Linked DNA regions of Xenopus tropicalis. The protein of the gene in region 2 interacts with the protein of the main gene of each other region in a biochemical or structural test. Links are inferred from orthologs where the notes say so. Each region holds a gene or a part of one and is shown on either strand. Other genes may lie near its edges. The genes, in order: fgfr1, fgf9 and fgfr3.

Evidence for each region.
Region 1: the proteins of fgf9 (region 2) and fgfr1 interact in a biophysical measurement, tested with the Homo sapiens proteins (2 studies listed by BioGRID and IntAct, with this or other methods). The link is inferred for Xenopus tropicalis from reciprocal best matches to the Homo sapiens genes FGF9 and FGFR1.
Region 3: the proteins of fgf9 (region 2) and fgfr3 form a complex in vitro, tested with the Homo sapiens proteins (3 studies listed by BioGRID and IntAct, with this or other methods). The link is inferred for Xenopus tropicalis from reciprocal best matches to the Homo sapiens genes FGF9 and FGFR3.

The regions. Positions count from the first base shown.
Region 1 is NC_030679.2:130,977,190-130,980,841, reverse strand, and holds part of fgfr1 (fibroblast growth factor receptor 1 precursor), read right to left. Parts: coding exon 3,630-3,652; intron 2,193-3,629; coding exon of another isoform or gene 2,042-2,192; intron 761-2,041; coding exon 616-760; intron 1-615. UniProt on the Homo sapiens protein: Tyrosine-protein kinase that acts as a cell-surface receptor for fibroblast growth factors and plays an essential role in the regulation of embryonic development, cell proliferation, differentiation and migration.
Region 2 is NC_030678.2:157,500,627-157,504,983, forward strand, and holds the start of fgf9 (fibroblast growth factor 9), read right to left. Parts: upstream 2,843-4,357; 5' UTR 2,027-2,842; coding exon 1,750-2,026; intron 1-1,749.
Region 3 is NC_030677.2:20,895,724-20,899,375, reverse strand, and holds part of fgfr3 (fibroblast growth factor receptor 3), read right to left. Parts: intron 3,633-3,652; coding exon 3,509-3,632; intron 2,342-3,508; coding exon 2,151-2,341; intron 374-2,150; coding exon of another isoform or gene 226-373; intron 1-225.

The DNA.
Region 1 (3,652 bases), on a different chromosome or scaffold from region 2:
TACAAAGGTGTTTTCTTATGAGGTTCTCTAAGCCCAAAATGGCTGCTTAACTTGCTATTGGGTGGTCAAGCCATTTAAAATGAGAATGAGTGAATTGGAACCTACACTCTTATATTTTACAACACAGGGATTTAGCACAAGCCTAAGTGTGTGTGTAGCTTTATTCAAGGTTGTCATCATCATTTTCTCCTTCCTCTAGGCTATTCCCAATGTAACTGAAGGTGGTATGTTACAGTGTATAATTATACAAAGATCCCAACAGTGTCATTATACTAGAATTCTTCTTTAATAGGAAAAGGCTCATAAAGATAGCAGAGAATTTTCTCTCTGCTTTGCCTGCTGTATATTTTGTTGATTTATTATGTTCATTTTCTCAAATGTCTTTACTTTCAAAAGTATGACCATTTGAGTAGCCGTTGGGTTAAATGGCAAAAAAAGAGGCTATTACATGATAAAGTTTGTACTAATACACTAAATATAACCTGACCAACTCATGATAAAATAATCACTTATTAGAGCTGTTATATGTGTTTGCTTTGTTGGAATCCTTTGGCTCTGAAATGCATGAAATGTTTAGAGGTATAGTCAGATAGGACAGAACAGAACCATATATACCTTCAAGAACGGTCAACCATGCAGAATGATGAGATATCCCAATGGAGTTAGCGGCCAAGCAGGTATACTGGCCAGCATCCTCAAAAGTAACATTTCTCAGGTGGAGAACCTCCATATCCTTGTCCGAGGTGTTGACTCCTGCAGTCTACAGATAAGAGCATCGTAGAGGGAGGAAAAGCCATCAGAAACCAAAAGAGCAGAAGGCAGGTTGTTGCCTTGGAACCAGAGGTCCCAGGGTATAAAGAAAAGAAACCATTGCAAGAAACCTGGTTAGAAGATTTACGATAGCTTCTTCCATCAAGTTCCACCTAAGGAGAAGCTACCTTGGTTAAACCCGTCACCAAAAAAAAAAATCGAGACCTCCTTCCCATTGGAACATGCTAGAGATTGGCAACATGGAAAAATGAGACCTGTTGTGGAAGCCTGGTTTAATTTCAAAGGGAAATGCTGAAGAAGATAATCAGGACAGAGAAGACGACGACGCTAAGGTGAATTAGGACAGGGTAAAAGAGAATTAAGACAGAAGAAAATGGAGAAATAGGACAGAGAAGATGATGAAGAATAGAATTAGGACAGAGTTGAAGATGCTAAAGAAGAAAATTAGGATAGAAGGAACTGTGAGAACATTTTCAGAATAAAAGACGTTTAATAAAGAAAAGTCACATGGTCATGGGGATCTGGTACAATGAGCACAGAAGTGCCAAGGACATCTCCAGTACGCTACAGCCAGTTGTAGTTCCTGGTGCATACTCTATTGAAAAATATAGCAGAAGCCACTAGGCGTGGATATTTACTTCAGCCAAGTTTTGTAGATATGTTGGCTACACCATTTATCTTTAGATATCACTCCATTGTAATGTGGCATGATATACCTATATATGAGTGTTTCATATTACAAATAATCCTAAAAGGGGACCCACTGCCTTCTATGGTGACTATGCAGTGGCTCTTTTCCTTTTTTTCCAAGACAGGGTACATTCAGTATGCTGCCTGGGGAATTTGGGCACTTCATGAGATGGAAGCCGGTGGAACGGAGATGGTAAATTTAGTTGTGTGGTGGCCATATCTTATTTCCCATCAGCCTACTGTGCGCAAAAATAAACACTAGCCTAGGTCAGTTCAGTTTAGAACAAACATGGCTGATAAATCAATATCATGTGGGGTTGAGGAGAAGGTAGAAATCTCAAGTGTGTAAAACAAGAAAGAAATAATAATACCGAATTAAAAACAGGTTAGAAATAAGGAAAGAATAAGAGAATAAAGCAGAAACACAATGAAACTAAAACCAGCCTCACACACCAAGTATTTTTCCATGGAAATAAAAGCACATTAAAAAGGGGAAGAAATATAATTGTTTCTGTCCAAGAGTCTGGCAGAGATATTGTACCAAAACCATTTTTTTTCCAGGAGGTGCCACCGATTTTACCTTTTGTCACGGGTCTGGTGACGGTAAGCCACGCAGACTGATTGGCCTCACCAATATAATTGGACACTTTACATATGTATTCCCCACTCTCTGCCTCAGTCACATTGTAAAGGGTCAAAACTTCTGCGTCTGAGCTATTAATCCCAGAGTGCTGAAACAAACCGATAACAGGAGGGAATCAAAATGACAAAGGAAAGACGAACATACACAAACATCATATAAATGCCTCTGTGGCCATTTATTAAACTCTCCTGTGCCATCTTCACTCAAAGCATAAATAGTGCACCAAATGTTTAGAGCTAGTTCTAAGGTCTGCTCCATAATGATCAGACTGAGCATGAGCAGTGTGCCCCTGGCACAAGGGAGAGGTTGGATCAAGATTAAAAAAAGAAATGTGGAACTTCAGGATGGAACTTTGGAGACATGTAGGGTTTTTGGACTTACTGCACTGTGCCGATATTTGCCCAGTGTTAGTATGAACACTACTACTGTGCTGGTACAACAAGCTCTATGTACAATGGGTTTAAAACCTTATGACAAAGATATATGAATGTTAAACCAGGCCAGCAACTCAAAACAATCAGTGTTTTTACTAATTGGTTGCTAGGAGTTCCTGGAAGGCCATAACATAATCATTAGATACTATGACAAACTCTAGGAAGTGAGACCTGGGTCCACCAAGGTTTGTGGATGTTAACATTTGTCAGAAAGTTTTGATGCCTGTTTTCTGCTTAGTGCATTAGGGTAGGCACTGATGCCCCTTTGGCTGAACTGCAGGAAAGGGTAAAATATTGGGCATAAGTATTTATAAAAAGCAACATTTATGACCTGCGTTCAAGGGAATTCAACCAGAAGCTGTTCAGCTGTTGAACACCTACTGTAATGGGGAGAGTTGCAGTATAACAAAAGCACCCTTGCCATACTATAGACCAGGGGTCCCAAACCTTTAGCTGTGAACAACATTTAACATTTAAATAATATAACCCATGCATGAATAAAGTTCCAAAGGGGTGGCCGATAAGGGCTGTGATTTGTTATCTGGTAGCCCAATGTGGACTGGCAGCAGACAGGAGGCTCTGTTTGGCAGGACACATGGTCTTTATGCCTCCAAAATTCAACTGGAAATTCAAAAACGGGCAACTGCTTTGAGGCCACTGGGAGCAACATCCAAGGGGTTGGTGAAACATGTTGCTCCTGATCCACTGGTTGGGGATCACTGCTAACTAAGTGTGCCTGCTCCTCCTCGGTGAAAATTCAAAATGACTTTCCAGACAAAGGGAGAGAGACCTACCGCAACTCTCTACCTATCTTGTTCCTGAAGATAAAACGCAGAAAGCAGCCGGGACGTGTTTGTGTCCGCAGCTATATTTAGCAGCACCCTGGTTAATAAATAATGCACTTATTGGTAATTACATTCAGGAGAGTCAGCACGCTGCATCTGTTTGCAACTCTGTCCTCCTAGGGCGTCATAGGTGGATTAAAAAAACAACAAAAGGAAGGGAAAATAAGCGTAACTGTAACAGAAGGAGTGTCTCGCCTTGCAGGGAGCCAAACAACACATGGCACATAGGACAACAGATGTATTTACCTTGAGGATTTCCACATACGGGA
Region 2 (4,357 bases):
GAACAGCTGCAGTTCATTCAAAGTGCGGGAAACTGGTTCAGTCGCAAAGCTGAGGACCCCACCTATCCCAGACTTATAGCCCCCCGTTAGCTGGAAGTCAGCTCCCCTGCCCCTGTGGCTTTCCCTAAGGCAGAGCTTCCCTACACTGTGGGGTTGGCCCTGCAGCAGCGGCAGGGGGGTCTCAGCCTTAAGGCCAGTTAGGGTGAAAACTTGGGGGGGGGGGGTTGTTTATACATATACCTTAAAGTCCAGCTTCAATGTCTGTTAGTAATTTGGAGTAAAAACTAATTTTTTTGTTCTACATATTCTTGGAACTATGGCTAAAACCCTGACTCTCTAATCTTCTTATAAATTAAAGGGGGCTCTGACCAAAGGTTGGACCTGCTTGAATGGAAAAAGTCCAACTTCCCTGAATGATGGAGAGATGCCTGCTCATTCCTGTGCCCTTGGTCCCTCATCATCATCATCTCTATAAGAAACACCATACAGTAGGACTGGGGTCCACATTTAGCAAACTAATTCCTGAATCCTGGGGGCCACTCACTGTGTGTAATCATTATGCCCCCCCAGCCCCCTGACATGGAACATGAATCTTATCTGCACTTTACTCTATACAGCTTGGAAAGTGTTAAAAATGAAAATACAGTTTTCAGGTGGGTTTTGACCCTGGCACAGTTAGATATTGATGCCCCCACCCCTCTGCAGGGGAATATTAAATACATTTTCCCCAGCACTGCTTTGCAGGGATCTCATTTGGGTCTGGCCCCTGCCTGAATGCAGCAATGCAGAACAAAATTTCTCTCTCTCTTCTTCAGCTTGGGAAGGAGTTAAAAGCATATGGGTGGGGGGGTTGCGCCCTCCAGTCTCCAGCTCCTAATGCTGAGTCACAAATAGCACCCTATAGAATGAAATCCAAGGCATGCTCTTTAAAATTAGTCCTGTGTCTTTATCCATCCATACAGCAGATGGGTCCTTGATGGTATAACTGCAATCACACAGGAATTTGGGAAAAGCAAATGGCAAACCATTTGTGCTGCTCATGCTATAACCCCCCAGGGGCCACACCTTTCTAAAATTGGACTGTTGTGTTCGATAGCCCCCAAGCGCTAAGGTACACCGAACAAGAAAATCCCAGACTATAAATATCACGCCAAGCAACCAGAGTATTCCTAAGGGCAAATAAAATCCAGAGTTTAAATCTGATAAACTTGGGGAATCGTAATAATATAGTGTTGACCCAAATCAATAAATTGCACCACTTAAATATAATAAAATCATATATCAGCTGGCAGTTAGAAGCAAAGGTGAGCTGACACTTGGGTGCCAACAACCCCTGGTGTTTATTCCTAAATACAGCATTGCAGACAGGCAATAAGGTAGGGATTTTCATCTGTTTCACTATCAGAGGATGCTGGGAATTATAGTAAAATAACAACTGTAAGACTGCAGACATCTCTAAATGAATGGGATGGGATATTGCCCTGCCCCAGTATCTGCTGAAACAACTGGCAGAATTCTATAAAGTCCATATAACGCTGCTTTGGTCCATGCCCACATACAGTGCAATAAATGAAACTTTACAGCATGCTCTTATTAAGTAGCTCTCACAGCCGCCGCTGCTGCATGGCCAAATGCTGCCTTTTTAGCCGGCTGCTGCATCTCAGCTGCTGAGCGAGTACCTGCATTGGGAGAGCTGCAGCCTATGGAATTGCTATCCCCGGGAAGGGGGCGGCAGAAGACAATACCTACCAAATCGGTTGTGATCCTGCCTGGTCCCTTGGATAGTCCCATTAGGGAAGATTTCCAAATGAAACCCAGTTCTGCAATAGAGCTGCCTCCTTCGGAGAATCCCTTTTAAATGTTCCAGGTCAGTGACCGCAGAGCCCCTGGGGAGCCCCCCTGCTTCAGAATGGCTCATGTGGTCACTTAACAACACAGGGGTATCCACTTGCAAGACGGGTACATTCCCAAAAGACACTGCATCCTGCACACCAAAATAGTTGCCAACTTCACCCAGGGGAGCCATCAGAAGCAGCTCTCTCCTCTCTCGCCCTGATGATGAATAAGCAGATAATGAGCTTGGAATAGCCCAGCTCAGGTGTGTGTGTATATATATATATATATATATATGTATAAAATATATATACTGTATCCACTCTTCCTGGGGAAGCAGAGAGGAGGGAGATCAATCCATTCAGTGCATCAATAAAAGTAAAGGTTCTGCTGGCAGGTTCAAGGTCAAGCCTGTGCTAGTCTGAGGAGCTCACACACTGACATCTCTCCCCTTCCACATGATTATCCCCTCAGCAGTCTGGCAGCTCTGCAGTCCATCCAATGGCAGGCAGGGGTAAAATCCCTAGTTGCTCCATTTGCTCTAGGATCACAATGCTCATAGCAACTTAATTAGCCAGGCGATCAGTGGAGATTTCTCTCTCTCTCTCTTTTTTTTGGTGGAAGATGCACAACCATAGGCTACGTCAGATTTGTGGCTCCTGACACAAGAGGAAGGCATGCGCTGTTATTAGTCTATCCCAGACTGCATAGATCAGCATGAAGCCCCAGCTAGAGAGGGCATGGAATAATAACAGCGAGAGGAAGCAGCACAATAAATAGAAAGGAAACTTTTCAGGTGCTGCTGCTGCAGGGGTCTGGCTTGCAGTGGTGCTGCTGCTGCTGCAGGGGGGATCAGGAAGGAGCATGGGCTGCTGCTGCCTGGGAACAGGTGTTAGTGCTGCTGCTGCTGCTGCTGTGCAGGCGGGCTCCCTGGGAAGTCTCCAGCTCTCAGGCTGCGGCTCCTGACTGAGCCTCTCCATCCAGCTCGCAGAGTGGCGCAGCAGCCAGGCATTGGGCTGGGTTTAAGTTAGGCGCTCTCTGCCTCTGGGTCCTACTGCCCGCCGGCTGCGGCGCTGGGAGAACTCGCTGAACGCCACAAGCGACTGCTGCCTCTGCTTCTCATCCCTGTCTGTGGCTCGTACGGAGGTGCAGTCTAAAGTCCTTGCAAGATTAGTGTGGTTTCTTGTTTTTTTTTTTCCTGGATATGAATAATATTGAGGAGCTGCCTAATGACTTCTTCTTTTAACCGGGCACTTACCGAAGAGACAAGCTGCATGGCTGCTTTGTTATCCAGATAAGTGCCCCAGGTTTATTAATGGGCCACTGAACAAGAAGATACAAGGGCATGGCTACAGGAGATATGAGGGGCCCCTTCTATATATGTCAAGGAAAACCCACTCTTTAATTGAGCGGTGTATAAAGTGAATTTGCTGTGGGGTTCAGGAATTTCTAGTTACACCACTAAGGGGACAGTTCTAGGTTAGGGTACAGCAGTGCCAGGCTGAAACATATGGGTGCCCAATCTTGCCCAAAGTAAATTTCTGCCCCTACCCTTCTACTCACCTACCCCCAGACTTAGCAACCCCTCCTAAATGGTCCCCACAGCCGCCGCTTGTGCCAGTCCCCCATCCCAGTGCTCTGTGAAGAGAGGGTGCAGAGGAAACTGCAGGAATTCTGACATTTTTCTCCTTCCTCTCAAGCTTTGCCCTAGGTAGCCGCCTCTCCTTAAGGTGGCCATACAAGCTCTGATTCTAGTCTTTATCCGACAAATGTTCAGATATTGGTTGTACGTTTAAATGCAACAATCTGAAACTATCATTTAAACTGATATTGTAGTATAAAGCCCTTAAACTACAAATCAGAGGATGTTCTTAACATGAAATAGTTGGCAGACACCCATCGTACGAAAGTGAATTCCATTGTAGGCCCCCCAAGGATATCGTCGATATACAATACATTCACAGATTTTATCATTATCCCACCAAAATTTTATAAGCTGGCTGATCACCTAAACAACCGATTGCCAAGGTACGGAAATGATCAGGACAATAATTCACACACAGTCTGAAAATCAGACAAAACGAGGTTTCCTACGATTTCATCGGTGTGTGTATGGCCAGCTTTAGTTTTGCCCCTGGGGTAGAGAGGGCATTTTGTGAGCCCTTTACCTGTTGTTAAACTACAGTTCCCAGGAGAAGCTGTATTTGTAGTTCAGTAATAGCCTGAGGGCTGCAGACTGGGTACCCTGACCTATTTTTCCCCCATCCCTCAAAGTTGGGACACTTAGGGGCAGATTTATCAAAAGTTTAAGTGGAGTTTAGTGGTCAGTACATAAAAACTCGTGCCCCTTCTATTAAAATTTTTAAAAATTACAAGTTTAGGATCTGTTATCCAGAATGCTTGGGACCTGTGTTTTTTTGGATAAGGGATCTTTCTGTAATTTGGATCTCCATACCTTAAGCGCGCTAAAATGCATTTAAACATTCAATAAACCCAATATGATTGATTTGCCACCAATGTGGAT
Region 3 (3,652 bases), on a different chromosome or scaffold from region 2:
ATCCTGACTTTATGCCAGGGTGTAGGGGGGAGGAAGGTTAGCTAGTTGTGGGTCCTGTTGCGCTACAATCCAATGTATTTCAGTGTTGAAGAGGCAGAAAGAGCTGCAGATGTTAAGTCACCCAAGGAACCAGAGAGACTGTTATCAGAGCACCCAAGGACTTGATAAAGATTCCTTTCTTTCCTTTCATACCAAGATGATTGTTTTGGGTGCCTATAGTTTTACCTGATGCTGGTTTGTAAATGTGGAGCCAAAAGGACGCCTCAGCTACGCCTATGAAATTGTTGGCTCTACACACATACTGTCCTTCATGGGTCTCTGTCACATTTTTTAGACTTAGGGTAGTATCGACTTCAGTGCCATTGGTGAAAGACTGCAGGAACAGACAGATGCTGTGACTTTGGTTAAAGGGTAAAAAAAGGAACATTGCTACGGATACTAGATAACACATTGTATTGCTGAGATGTCTACAGGTGAGGTCCAAGCTGGGAGAACTGCCTTTGAGTCCTTATACACAGACTTTGATTCCTGCTGTAAAGCCTGTAAACATCATAAATGTAACTGTTCTGGATGCAGAAACCAAATACAAGTCAGGCTAATATTAATGTAAACACAGCCATTTGGCGGCCATCTTGTATATAACCCACAATGCACTTCTCAGCATTCTGGGATTGGAACCTAATGCAAGCTGTGTCCACATGTCAGACAAAAACAAATGAAAATAAAGCAGAGGCTGAAATCTGTTTTTAATGGATTCTTTAAGAATATAAAGGCATGGTCTGTAAATCTGCTGAGAGGATATTCAGCAAAGACAAACACTGGCCGAGAAATTCAGCTTCCTACCCGCATTAGTGTAAATGCTGTCTCAATTACCCGGATTTATAAATAGGATCCGGAGACAAAATATAAGCAAAAGCTGCGGTCTGAAGCTGCCGGTGACATAGCCCATTATAAACAGGCAGTGTGCCTCTCCACACCAAAGCTTTTTCTTATAATCCCATATATCCCTAACTAGTGATGTACGAGGAGCAGCCAGAAGCAAAGGATTATGGGGCTGCAGTCTATGGAAGAGGCCTGTGAGCTTTATGTCATCCTAACATTGAGTAGGAGGCAATGGGATCCAATGAAATGTGGTTATTAAAGGGGTAATACATGGCAATGGTATCCCTTTAAAAAGGAATTGTACAGACATTTGGTACAGGTATAGGACCCGTTATCCGGAATGCTCGGGACCAAGGGTATTCCAGATAAGGGGTCTTTCCGTAATTTGGATCTCCATACCTTAAGTCTACTAAAAAATCAATAAACCATTAATTAAATCCAATAGGGCTGTTCTGCCCCCAATAAGGAGTAATTATATCTTAGTTGGGATCAAGTACAGGTACTGTTTTATTATTACAGAGAAAAGGGAATCATTTAACCATTAAATAAACCCAATAGGGCTGTTCTGCCCCCAATAAGGGGTAATTATATCTTAGTTGGGATCAAGTACAGGTACTGTTTTATTATTACAGAGAAAAGGGAATCATTTAACCATTAAATAAACCCAATAGGGCTGGTCTGCCCCCAATAAGGGGTAATTATATCTTAGTTGGGATCAAGTACAGGTACTGTTTTATTATTACAGAGAAAAGGGAATCATTTAACCATGAAATAAACCCAATAGGGCTGTTCTGCCTCCAATAAGGGGTAATTATATCTTAGTTGGGATCAAGTACAGGTACTGTTTTATTATTACAGAAAAAAGGGAATCATTTAACCATTAAATAAACCCAATAGGGCTGTTCTGCCCCAATAAGGGGTAATTATATCTTAGTTGGGATCAAGTACAGGTACTGTTTTATTATTACAGAGAAAAGGGAATCATTTAACCATTAAATAAACCCAATAGGGCTGTTCTGCCCCAATAAGGGGTAATTATATCTTAGTTGGGATCAAGTACAGGTACTGTTTTATTATTACAGAGAAAAAGGAAATCAGTTTTAAAATTCTGAATTATTTGATTAAAATGGAGTCTATGGGAGACAGGCTTTCCGTAATTTGGAGCTTTCTGGATAATGGGTTTCCGGATAAGGGATCCCATACCTGTACAATACAAAAAAAGAAAAAACAGCATTGGTCTGCGGCACATTTGCTATAAGGCAACTTACTTGCAGCACGGTGACGTAAGGATCTCCGTCTGGGCCGTACTTGCTGCCATTTACTTCCACGTGTTTCAGCCACTGAATATGAGGCTGGGCATCACTGTACACTTTGCAGTGGAATTCTACGTCGCTCCCAATCACAACTGTTTGGTTAGCAGGTAACCCGGCCTGAAGGATAGGCCGATGAGAGGACCGCTCTACAAACCGGAAACAAGGCTTCATGTTAGGCTAAAGGGGTGCAAACATGGCGACTCCCACTCATAACTACAGTCATGCAAGGCAGGAATGTTCTGGGCACCTCATTCATTTGCACTACAGCACTAAAATAACTTCCCAAATAATGGTAATTTCTGACCACTAGGGGCACTGTGTCTCAATAGAGAGGACTACCATTACCATCTCTGGTAACAAAATGTCAGCTCCCATATATTTCCCATATCAAATGGGAGGCTTATCTTCCATTAACTGTAGTTCAGTTTTCATTTATATGCATATCCTTTAGACATTTCTATTTAGAAACCCTACAGAACGCCGGAGATGATGTGTCACTTTCCTTTGGCCCCCGAAGAAGAGGCACGGAACAGATAAATACAAATGTCCGTGGTTACAGTGCACATCATTGTTGTGTCTATTGACATTTTTCCATGAAATTACAGACTCGACTCCTTCTCCAGACCCGAGAGCCGTTTTCATGCTTAAACCCATCTCCAAGGCCACAATATTTTTTAAACAAACTTCCATTAAAATATTTGGTTCCCCCCACCAATCTTTAAATAAACAGGTTTTAAGGTGTCCCTGCCAAAGCCCTTTTCTGGCAGATTCTTTACCCTTTCACTGGACCTACATGAAAGCTCCTCGGAGATGTTGTTGTACGTGAGGCCTAGAGACCTGAATCCCTCCATTTCCTGAGGAGGCATTGTACCACCTGAAGCTCATGAAGAAACCTCTATAAAAAGCTGGCAAGCCACCGCAACATTAGACCTGGAACCTGCCAGCAATGGAGTTACATTTCCCGGGATTTAGGCAACCATTAGGAACCTATTGTAGGGCTGCCAGGAACATAATCTCCTCACCCATCCGCAGCTATAAGAGCATAAACAGCACAACAAACAAAACAGGTATTGTAACCCTAGCACACACAGCTCCTTCAGCAGCCACTAAAGGGTGGGAGGGTCCCCAACAAGGCAAGTGTTCAGGGCCTCTCATGCATATGAATGATACAATTTACATGGAATTAGCCTTACTATGAATGGGCCAAATAAGCTCAAGTTGTTCTAAACTAATGTCTAGACAAGCAAGCCCTTGACGTTCCTAAAAGCCATTTCCTCTACAGCACCAGCATAGATAATGCCCGGTAGCCTTACCCAGGACGTCAAGTTGATAGGTTTGACGGATGCTTCCATACTTGTTCTCCACCACACACGTGTAGTTGCCTTTATCCGATGGGACCACGCTCTCCATAACAAGGCTCCACTGCTGATGTCGGAGCTACAATAAAGAAAACATGC